Linked DNA regions of Rattus norvegicus. The protein of the gene in region 1 interacts with the protein of each later gene in a biochemical or structural test. Links are inferred from orthologs where the notes say so. Each region holds a gene or a part of one and is shown in the gene's direction. Other genes may lie near its edges. The genes, in order: Erbb3, Fer and Ptk6.

The links.
Region 2: the proteins of Erbb3 (region 1) and Fer form a complex in vitro, tested with the Homo sapiens proteins (2 studies listed by BioGRID and IntAct, with this or other methods). The link is inferred for Rattus norvegicus from reciprocal best matches to the Homo sapiens genes ERBB3 and FER.
Region 3: the proteins of Erbb3 (region 1) and Ptk6 form a complex in vitro, tested with the Homo sapiens proteins (2 studies listed by BioGRID and IntAct, with this or other methods). The link is inferred for Rattus norvegicus from reciprocal best matches to the Homo sapiens genes ERBB3 and PTK6.

What each region holds. Positions count from the first base shown.
Region 1 is NC_086025.1:1,597,454-1,601,131, reverse strand, and holds the start of Erbb3 (receptor tyrosine-protein kinase erbB-3), read left to right. Parts: upstream 1-752; 5' UTR 753-874; intron 875-1,032; 5' UTR 1,033-1,218; coding exon 1,219-1,300; intron 1,301-3,459; exon of another isoform or gene 3,460-3,678. UniProt on the Homo sapiens protein: Tyrosine-protein kinase that plays an essential role as cell surface receptor for neuregulins.
Region 2 is NC_086027.1:111,106,837-111,110,485, forward strand, and holds part of Fer (tyrosine-protein kinase Fer), read left to right. Parts: intron 1-2,762; coding exon 2,763-2,885; intron 2,886-3,649. UniProt on the Homo sapiens protein: Tyrosine-protein kinase that acts downstream of cell surface receptors for growth factors and plays a role in the regulation of the actin cytoskeleton, microtubule assembly, lamellipodia formation, cell adhesion, cell migration and chemotaxis.
Region 3 is NC_086021.1:188,690,839-188,694,587, reverse strand, and holds the start of Ptk6 (protein-tyrosine kinase 6), read left to right. Parts: upstream 1-1,363; 5' UTR 1,364-1,654; coding exon 1,655-1,884; intron 1,885-3,749. UniProt on the Homo sapiens protein: Non-receptor tyrosine-protein kinase implicated in the regulation of a variety of signaling pathways that control the differentiation and maintenance of normal epithelia, as well as tumor growth.

The sequences.
Region 1 (3,678 bases):
CTATATGAGACCTTGTTTCAAAACCAAAAAAAAAAAATAAACAAAAGAAAAGAAAAGATTGTAGTCCATAGTCTTCGCCCAGGGGGAGGGGACAATAAATTCTCAAAATCTTGGAATGCCAATGTAAGGGTTGCGAAATGCAAGGGGTTGGGCACCAGGGGGCGCCAGTCGGACCCGTCCGGGACCCAGCAACCCTGGGTCCCGTGGGCCATGTGCGGTGACTTCTCCGCTCCCCTCCTCACTGTCGTCTCCCAGTGTGAGCGTTGCTGTGCCCTTTTGGGTCCGCGGAGGAGAGGCGGGAACCGCGGCCGCCCGGACGGCGCGGTCGGTCCCTCGGAGACAGCTGTTCTCTCGGGCGGCCGTGGGGGGCAGCAGAGGGGACGGCGACAGGTGCGGGAGCCCCTCCCCGGGCTGAAGTGGGAAGGCGGACTCCCCGGTCTGTTCCCAGGCTGGAAACCGCCCCCGCCCCCCAGGCAAATCCCCCCAGAGGCCGAGCCGGCGCCGGGTCTGCCGGAGGAAGCGGCCGGAGACAGTGCAATTTCACGCGGTCTCCGGGGCTCGGGTTCCCGAGCTGGGTACATGAGTTACGGGGCTTTGCGTCCCGGGGAAACTGAGGTGGCATGAACGCTAGGCTAAAAAACAACCTCCCACTCGAAAAAACTGAAATACTCACACTACGAAAGAAGGAAAAAAAAAATCCCTCAAGTGATCCAACCGGCTAGGGGAGTTGAGTGATTTGGTTAATGGGCGAGGCCAGCTTTCTGGGGGCTGGGCTTCGGAGCGCTCTCCTTACCCGCAGTCACTACCTTTCCCCGGCCTGGGGTCGTTTGGAATCTTGATCTCCTCTGAACCATCTCCGGAGGGAATTGCTGGAGTAAGACCCCTCCTTGACCCTCTTGGCCAGGCTGCGGGCTGGCGGAGCACCTTTGGGCGGGTGTCCCGGGCTACAACCATCAGGACTTCAGCCTCGCACGGGAGGGGGCGCGGCCGTGACTCACCCCCTTCCCCCTTCGCTCCGTCCCTCCCTCCCAGACAGACACCCTCCCCTGCCGCCCCGCTCCGGACTCTGACTCCGGCTCCAGTTGCAGTTTGCAACCTCCGCTGCGGCCGCAGCTACCTATTCGCTGGCTGTTCAGGTGGCTTTCGCTTCGATGTCCTCCTAATCTTGGGGCCCCCGGGCCAGACTCGGCAGGGCTCCCTTCACCATCCGCTGGAATCATGAGGGCGACTGGGACTCTGCAGGTGCTGTGCTTCCTTCTCAGCCTGGCCCGGGGTTCCGAGATGGGCAACTCTCAGGCAGGTAAGCCGCGCGGGAGCCCCAGAAGTCTGGAAGCTGGGAGCGTGTGACCTGAACGCTCGCAGACCCTGGGCAAGGAGTTCGGGCACTGACTCTTTGAACTGGGGAGTGTGTGTGGGGGGGGGGTGCGACACCGGGTCTGCTCGCACCACCAAGGAGGGGGCCGTGTGCCTCGGTTCTTGGAGTGGAGCTTTCTGGGGGCTGGGACTGCATTCCTGGATGCCTACCCTTCTTCCCAGGGCGTCGCTGACCCTCTAATTGGTCTTATTCTGATTTGGTTAATGAAGAACAGTAGATTCACACTTGAGAGCCTTGGGAGGAGGGCGGGCAGGGACCCTTCTGTAAACGTAAGGAGCCTTGACTTGAAGGGTCTCAGTTTGTTCTCAGGTTCCCTGGCCCCCACCCCATCCCAGGTTTCAACAACCCCCCAGTTTCGTTGTTTTGCTGACAGGGCGGGGCTATGCAAGGGTTGGAAGTTGTTGTTTTCTAATGTTGGAAAAACAAGAGTGGCACCTCCTCTTCCGTGAGTGGGGCTGTCCTGAGAAGGCTGAGATTAACCTGAGGGCCAAGTCCAGGTGACATCAGTGAGAGGTCTCACAGAGCTGGCTGCCTGCTTTCCCATAAGATAAGCCGGTCCCCCAACTTAACCAACGTCTCTTTATCAAGACCCAGGTCAATTCAGTTAACATGTTGGGCATCTATTACACACTACACTATTTCCAGGGTATTATACCCTATTCTGGGGCTGTGGGGAAAAAGACAATCAGACCTATTTCTCTCTCCAATCTGAGGTCACTTCTCCCACCTTCTGAACATTCTATTCTGTGAACTGGCTCCCAGACCCAACTTGTGCCCTCCCCCCATTCGGTGCCATATGAGCCCTTTCCTACGGGTGTCTCTGGGACTACAGACACCTGAAGAACACCGGAGTTGGTATAATTAGAGTCCTGTTGATCTTGCTCCCCCCACCCCACCCCAAGATCTCTGCTTGGGGGTTGGCACAGTCAGTGCCCCTTCCGCAGAGTGGGAGTGGGAGAAACCACCTGTGCTTCCCCCACAGTTGCTGGGCCTAAATTTAGCCCCTGGGATCTTGAGATGTGAACACTCCCAGCTGGTGGAGGGGGTGGTCTGGGACTGGGGGGAGGGCCAGGGGAGTGACTGGAACACAGTTCCATCTGACTGCCCCCACCAACCAGAACCCAAGAGTCCGGGACTCCCACCACCCTCCTCAAGAGGCAGGGAGCAGGCATGCTTGCTTGTCTACCCTTTATCTTCCTCCTGAGCCTCTGGGCATCCGGCCCTGTCTCAAGCCTTGTATAGCCCCTTTGTCCCCTTGTGTATGTGGCAATAGAGGGGAGGCATCTGAGGGGCTGGAGGCTCTTGGTCTGTGCAGTCAATACTCTCTACAGAGAAAGGCTCCGACTTTGATCCTTTGCTCCTCTGTGAGCGTTGTCCACCCTACCCCCACCCGGTATTTTTCACTGCTTCCTTGCCGTGATCCCCAGGTTGCTTGGTCCCTCCTGGGTGGTTGTTTATGCTCCCGTCCTGTCCGCCTGCGCCCTTTGCCCCTGTTTGTGGGATCTGGACTTTACCCTCAGGGTGGCAGGTAACTGAGCCCTGTAGGGCTTTGCAAAGCACAAGACACAAAGTGTGCAAGGCATTGTGGGCAGGCAGGATGGACTGGCCCCTTGTAATGCTTCTGAGTATGGGTTCCAGGGCAAACACTATCTATTTCTGTGCCAGGGTAACTGTGTACATGTTTGTGTGTCAGTCGTACATGTGTGACACTACGCACGCACGCACAGGTACACATCACTTCCCTGTGCAGATATCCTAGCTCCTCCCCTATCTGAGAAGGGTTGGCACCTTAACTTGGAAGAGGGGTGTCCTGCCAGGAAGGGGACAGGGGTGGGGCTGTTCCAGAAATGACTAACCTTCCTAGTCTTTTATTTCAGCCCAAGGACCCTGGAGTTCCCAGGTTCCTCTGGGAGCTTCTAGCTTCTTGCTGGAACTGGCCCACTCTTTCCATCATGGAGAGAGGATAGGGAAGATGATCTAGAAGGGGTCAAACTAGACATGTACCTAACAAGAGAAACTGGGCTTTCTGACTCTCTCTCTCTCTCTCTCTCTCTCTCTCTCTCTCTCTCTCTCTCTCTCTCTCTCTCCCTGCCCCGCCTCAGGGAAGGGTGGTTAGAACAGGTGGTGTACCCCTTACCCCCACCCTCCTCTCCATGTGCTTTTACTGCACCACAGGAAAGAGCTCCAGGGAAGACAGTGAAAGCCCAAGAACTGAAATGGCCTCTCCTCTGGGCTCTCTCCTGGAGTGCCTACTGGGGAACACTGCCATGTTAGCAGTCTCTTTAAAGAATCCTTCTGACGAT
Region 2 (3,649 bases), on another chromosome or scaffold:
CACTGGGAACACATCTGCTTTTCAGAAGACAGACTTGAGAGCTGAAGCTGGGAGGAAGTGGAGAAAGAAGCATACATTTTGTTGGGAATGTCAACTAGCGTGGTCATTGTGGAGATCAGTGCGAGGAGTCCCAGACAACCAGAGATCAGTGCGGTGCCTCCAAGACAACCAGAGAGGGAGCTGTGACATGATCCCACCCTGTGTCTTGGATCAGATGACTAATTGAAATGAAGAACGTGTTAGAAGGAGACATGTCCATGGTTTTCTCTACACTATTCAGAATAGCCAGGATGTGAAATCACCCAGTTGTCCAGGAGATATGTGAAGAGAAGGTGGTGGGGCACAGGCACCTGGGCACTGTTCAGTCACACAAATGTCATCAATCCTGTCAGGGCTAATAACACTGATATGCTAGGATAGTGCTATTAGGTAAAATAGTCCAAGTAGAAGACACTCGCTGTGTGGAAGCCTGGAGTTGTGTAGTCACTACAGAAGCTTTGAACAGCAGAGAGAGTAAAAGCAGGAGAGGTCGGTCCACGGGTACAGTGGTGCAGTGTCTGTATTGGAAACGGGAAGTCCTGGCTCTCATGGCAGAGTAGGTAGAGTTTAATGTACAACACTGCACTGTACACGTCAAATAGAAGGGTCTTACTGTACTCAGCATGAAGAAATGAGCGTCCGGGTGATGGAAGGCCCACTTCAGGTTACTTGGCACCTGACAGTCGTGAGTGAGAGCATCAGATTGTGGTGAATATGTGCCCAAAGCTTTGACCAACTGCATATTCTTTTTAATTAAAAAATGGAGAGAGATAGATATTGATCAAGTATCAAGTTCACTTTGAGGTAATTAAATGTACGAATTACTTAGATTCATTACTGCAGTCTCTGGGCTCTTTAAAGCTACATTTTAAATTCATGCTGTGGGTCTCCTTGTGTGCAGTAAAATGCCAACATATTTTTGCATAGCAGTTCCAAACTTGTGGCTTATCCTGTGTAGTTAGGATTATGTTTCCCATTGCACAGCAATCATTCTGACATCAGTAGGGCAAGGCAATAGCTACGTCATGTCATTTTCTACACCTCTAGTATACTGTCAGACTTAGCCATTCCGAAGCCTTACTTCCCAGGAGGTACTGAGCAAGCAACGACCTTTTTCAGGGCCAGCCTGGGGAACATGGCAAGATTCCGTCCCAAAGAAATCAAATCAATCAAACCAACCAACAAAGCGGCCCACGTTAGGCTTCCTTTGCTGCCTGCCATAGTATCATCAAGCTGAACCATTCTCTGTGGGGTTAGGTCAGAGGAGCAGGAGGGACTCAGATCCCTTTGAAGCCACATCTAGTGCAGCATATGGGGCCTTGAGAGTAAAGGAACAACCCAAAACACCGGGAGCATTCTCTTCTCTCTTTTATTTGCTTACACGACATTGATGATATCTTAATGCCTTTATATCCATCGATGTGTCTTCCTGTCCAAGAAGGGGAATGGACTGGTTTTATACCATGTTAGGGTGCTGAGAACCTCACAGGTATTACAATAATTTTTGTAAAATTAGTAATTCCAAATTTTGAAATGTTCTTAAATTAAGAAAGGGAAACAGAAAATCTAAGGTTTTATTAGGTAGTTGTGAAGTTCTAGGGATGCATAAGACTCAGAGTAGGGTGGATGTGAGATTTCATTGTGTGTGAACTTCACTTTGTTCGTTAAACATTGCACATATAACATCTTGTGCTCATGAGTGTGTGAACCATGTATAAACTGTTTTGTTCTCTTCACAACACTGAAGGCATTGTACGTCATTCACATGTTTCTTTCTGCAGGCCACAGACTGTACCAGACCACAGGGCTCTTATACTGAGTGATAAATAAATGAGTCTTTTGCCTACAGTGCCTGCAATCTACAAGGGAGACAGACAATACAAATCATAAGTAAACTTGGGAATGGAGAGATAGCTTCTGGACCTGAGTTGGATTCCCCCAGCATCTATGCTAAATGTCTCACACCCACCTGTAACTCCAGCCTGGGGCAATCCGCCACCCTTTTATGGCTTCTGTGGACACGGGGACACACACACACACACACACACACACACACACACACACACACACACACACACACTGAAATAACAAAGTACCTCTAAAAAGATACCAGGCTCTGAGCCTGCTGATCTCAAAGGCTTATCACTGATGCTCGTCTTTATTTCTTTAGCTTTATCTCTCGTGTGAATGATGTTTGCATCTTTATATATATCAGTGGTCCATTGAGGTCCTACTGTAGAAAAACCCATTGTATTAGCAAGTAAGAAATGAGTATCTTAGGTATTGTTTTATTAGACTCCCTCGAACCTTTGACAGTATTTTGGTACTGAAAGTTTATGGAAGGGAGCATACATGGAGACGTATGTAACGTCTTCCTTCTGCTTAAACGTGAGTGGGCACCTGCCTTATTTGCTTTAGTCACCATTTTCATACAATGCAGTTGAGCTCCATTAGCCTTTCCTCTTGCTATAATAACAATGTGAGTTATGTTTAGCCTGGAATTTTTTCTGAATTCCAGAATATTTGGCAGTAGATTGTTGAGTCTAATGTTTCTGTCTATTTTAATATTTTGCTATCTGTTAAGTTTGTAGTTGAGTATTGTTGTATATTTATGATGCTGTACACGGACAGCTCTTCTAACAGAACTTAACTTCTGGATAAGATCATTTTTTTTTCTGAAACAATGTCTTCCTGATAATTCTATGTTGTTGTTCTCTCTCCAGAATCTATATCGATTTGAGGGCACCGGCTTTTCAAATATCCCTCAACTTATAGATCACCACTTCAATACAAAGCAAGTCATCACCAAGAAGTCGGGGGTGGTTCTGCTGAATCCTATTCCAAAGGTAGGGCTGAGACCTTGTTTCTTTTATTTTTTAAAAAAGAATACTTACTTTGTTAGCATTTGTCACAGAAGAAAGCTTTTAGGGTATGTGCCAAAGTCAGGGACAAATTGCTTCTGTGAGCACCAGTAACTCCTGGCAATCTAGCTGAAATATAGACTTCCCTTAATTTTATGAAGACACATTACCTTTCTGCTCAGCGTTTGCTAGGATACAAATGGCCTAATTTGTTTTCTCTCTTTCCCAATTTATCTTGAAAGATGTGAGGATCATACTTTGAAAAGTTCTGGCAAAAGATTTGAGGATGTAGACATCAAGGAAGAGGTCTAGCATTTGGGAGTGAGTCAGAGTTTTAGTTTTGAGTGTAGGTTTACAGTGCGTTGAAAGCTTGGGACTGGTTAAAGCTTTACGTCCCTTCTCAGAAAATCTTCGCTCCCCTCTGAGGGGCCAGACCACTAGCTCAGAGCTCGCTTTAGACATTTTACCTGTGAGATCTATCGCGCACGATTCTTTGATGCACTAAGGGACTGTGAGGTCAGACTGCGCAGGGAGTGTTATGTGTTTCACACAGCACCTTAGGGACCTGGAGCACAGCGCAGCAGGGAGCCTGGTGGGCCTTTCAGCATGTTGACAGCTGGGGGAGCTGGGCTGGGAATGGCAGGGCTCTTTCTTTGAGGGCTGTGCAACATGAGCAGTGTACAAATGGGAAAGACATTGAAATTGGAGAGAGACTTGTATCCAGTTGATTGTTATAGATCAGTTCTGTG
Region 3 (3,749 bases), on another chromosome or scaffold:
AATAGGAAGTGGGTAGTGCTTTGTCTCTTCCATGAAAGAAAACGCGAGGCCTGGCACAGTTCTCGGAAGTAGAACATTCATTCAACATGTGGGCCAGAATTTGATCCTCAGCATGAAGTAGCATCCCCCACCACCACCCCCACTCCCACCACCACCACAGCACTCCCCCACCTTAAAAAAGAAAAAAGAAAGAAAAAGAAAAAAAAATCATTATTTCCCAGGTCACTCACCCTTATAGACTTTTCAATTTCCTTTCCCGTCCTGGGTGTGCAGGATCACCCAATCATGAACACAACAGGATCAGCCAGAGTGAGAAGGGTTGCCAGGGCCACTCTGGAGACAGGGAATCCTTGGAGCTCTCAAGGTTCAACAGGAGGAGGAGGGACAGACTGGAACAGTCACAAGTAGGGCTACTAGGGATTGGGTAGCATGGGAGGTGAATTAAAAGAGGCCCGGGGGGGGGGGGTTGGGGATTTAGCTCAGTGGTAGAGCGCTTGCCTAGCAACTGCAAGGCCCTGGGTTCGGTCCCCAGCTCAAAAAAAAAAAAAAAAAGAGAGAGAGAGAGAGACCCTGGGGGCCGCAGAGCAGGAGGGAAACCTGGGAAAGAGGGTGGTGGAGCTGTAGAGGCCCTGGTGGTGTGGGCCCTTCCTAGCCATTACTCACCCTTTGTGTCTGCCCCTTTTGTGTCCTTATCTGGAGGATAGGACAATACTTGCTTCTTGATCTGAGGTCTATGGACCACAGACACATCTCCAAGATATCAGAAAGCATTCTAACCCAGCTCACGACACACACAGATGGTCATGCCCTCATACCCCTTGGTTCCCTTTGGCTCTCCAGCTGTCATGCTGTGGTCTAGCATGCTGTCATGGCTGGCTTCTCCAGGATAGACTGTATCTGAATGTCCTCAGCTCAAGGAACCTGAGTTGTGGCAGAAGCTCAGGCTGGGGTATGTTCTTTAAGTTCACAGGTCTCATGCAACCCTCACCCCCTCAAGCCCCACCAGTTTCTTCTTTGTCTCCAACTCATGCCCTGCCCGATTTCCTTGATACCATGCCTAGATCTAGTCCTGTTAGCATCTAGAGGGTGGACACCTGCTCAGGGAGGCGGCGGTCATGAATGTCAAGTCTTTCAGGGGGACGCTTTCTCCTTTGGCAGGAGGGACCAGCCAGTGTAAGGGAGTTTGTTTTTGTTTGCATGTAGAAGAGCCATTGCTTTACTCTCTACTCTGTTCTAGCAACCTGCCCACCATCTTTGAAATCTCCCTCCACTGCTCCCCTCCCCTTCCTTTAGCTCCAAGACTCACACCTCAAGGGGACAAGGCTTCAGTTGATACCTGTGTGCTCCCCATCTAATAGGGTATTCTGTGTAACTGTGGCTAGGTCTTGTCAAGGGGTTGTTTAGCTGACAGGCTTTCACCGAGTGTGAACACATAGCATGGTCTTATCCTGTAGATAAAAGAACAAACAGGGGCTAGAAGGGCCTTCAGGGTGGAGCTAGGTTAGTCCATCTCCAATCAGTGCCGGGTGTGGCTGCTCTCCTGCCCATCATAAGGAAGTAGGTGTGACTGGCTTTCTGGGAAAAGTTCCTCCTACCTCTCCCAGCAGTAAGTGTCTACAAGTAGGCCACAGTTGGCTCTGCCACTAAGCCTGCCATGGTGTCTTTGGACAAGGCTCACCTGGGTCCTAAGTATGTGGGCCTCTGGGACTTCAAAGCACGAACGGACGAGGAGCTGAGCTTTCAGGCAGGAGACCTCCTCCATGTTACCAGGAAGGAGGAACAGTGGTGGTGGGCCACCCTGCTGGATGCGGAAGGCAAGGCCTTGGCTGAGGGCTACGTGCCCCACAACTACCTGGCTGAGAAGGAAACTGTGGAGTCTGAACCGTGAGTGGCCCTGGGGAGTTGGCACAGAGGGAGGGGTGGGTGTCCGTGGGCACTGGAATGGACTGGGGAGGCCAGAGGGTGTAAGATCCTACTTGACATTCAGCTGGTCATACTCTGATCCTTAACATTCTGGTACACAGTGTTGCTGATGGGGCTATGCTTCTGAGCAACACTTGGGGACAGGGTCTCTATTTTGGACTCACCTATGATCACTTCCCAGCCATAAGTACTGCTCTGCTAGGACCCAGATGGGTCCAGAGGGGCCTGATGTGGAATTTTAAGATGTTGTCTGTGAGGGACAAGATCTGTGTGGGAATTCAAGAGCTGTTGGGGGTGTGAAGTTTGCTCATTTTCCAAACAGCCAAAACCAGATGTGCAACTTAGTTAACTAGGGAGAAAGAAGGCTGCTGGGGCACACCTATTTATATCACCTGGCAGGGGGCATATGTTGCAAACACCACAGTGGTAAGTGTTTACATGTTCTCTGAGGCACCCTAGTCCACTGTTCTTGGCCTCCCACATATCTGAGCCCTTGGAGGCTTTGAGGAACTACAATAGTGACTAGTATGGGCATGTTCACAGGCACCCAAGGACCCAAGCTACGTAGGTTGCTCTGGGCTAAGGCTATGAAGGGTCCAGCAGCAGCGGTTTCTTACTGTTTTGCTCTTGAGACCCCCCCAATGCCTCATCTCACAGTGAGTACCTATGGTGCTCAATGAAGATTGTGAACACACAAACAAGAAACGAATACTAAATAGTACCTAGGACAGTTCCAGAGACAGAGACTCAAGACAGAAGTGAGGTAGGCATGGGTGGTGCGCATAAAAGAATGAGGAGAGCCAGGTGCCTTGAACACTCGGGAGGTAAAGGCAGGTGTTTATCACTAAATTCCAGGGCAGCCTGGTGTGTGTGTGAGTGTGTGTGTGTGTGTGTGTGTGTGTGTGAGAGAGAGAGAGAGAGAGAGAGAGAGAGATCAGACAGATAGAGACAGAGAGAGAGAGACAGAGACAGAGACAGAGACAGAGACAGAGACAAAGACCATGTGGCCAATATAGCAAGGGCAAAGGCCCTGAGGTCCTGAGAATCTAGCACAGGCAAACATGTCAGAGGAGGGGAGGGGCAAAGCAGAGGAGGCAAAGTGGTCAGAGGGGAGAGTGGGGCAGATTCTGTACTCTGCAGGACCCGAGCAGGTGGGCTTCAAGGGCTTGAGCTAGATGTTAAACTCTTTTTTTAAAAAAAAGATTTACTTATTTATTATATATAAGTACACTGTAGCTGTCTTCAGACACACCCGAAAAGGGCATCAGATCCCATTACAGATGGTTGTGAGCCACCATGTGGTTGCTGGGAATTGAACTCAGGACATCTGAAAGAGCAGTCAGTGCTCTTAACCACTGAGCCATCTCTCCAGCCCTAGATGTTAAACTCTTACGTGGAGCCTATGATCTGACAGCTCTTGAGGGAGTTGGAGACTCCGAGGGCAGAGATCACCCATGGAATTCCAAGGACTTTCACCTGTAGTTCAGTTCAGGCATATCTCCATCCCTTTGGTTGGAAGCCAGTATGATAAAATGGCTTTGAATGGGAGAGTATGAGCATGGGGGCTACCGTGTCTGTGCATGTACATAAGGGCGTGCTTATCAGAGTGTATGCAAGCTCGGGTTAGTATGAGAATGTGAGTGCACGGATGGGTACACACACAAGTGTGCAACATGAGGACATGGTCAGTGCAATGTGAGTGCACAGTTGTGTGTGGAAAATATCTATCAAACATGCACTTGTATTTCAGTGCATGTCTGTGCACACAAGTGCACATGTGCAAATGGCTATGTGGTTATATGCACATGTATGTGAAAATATGAGGC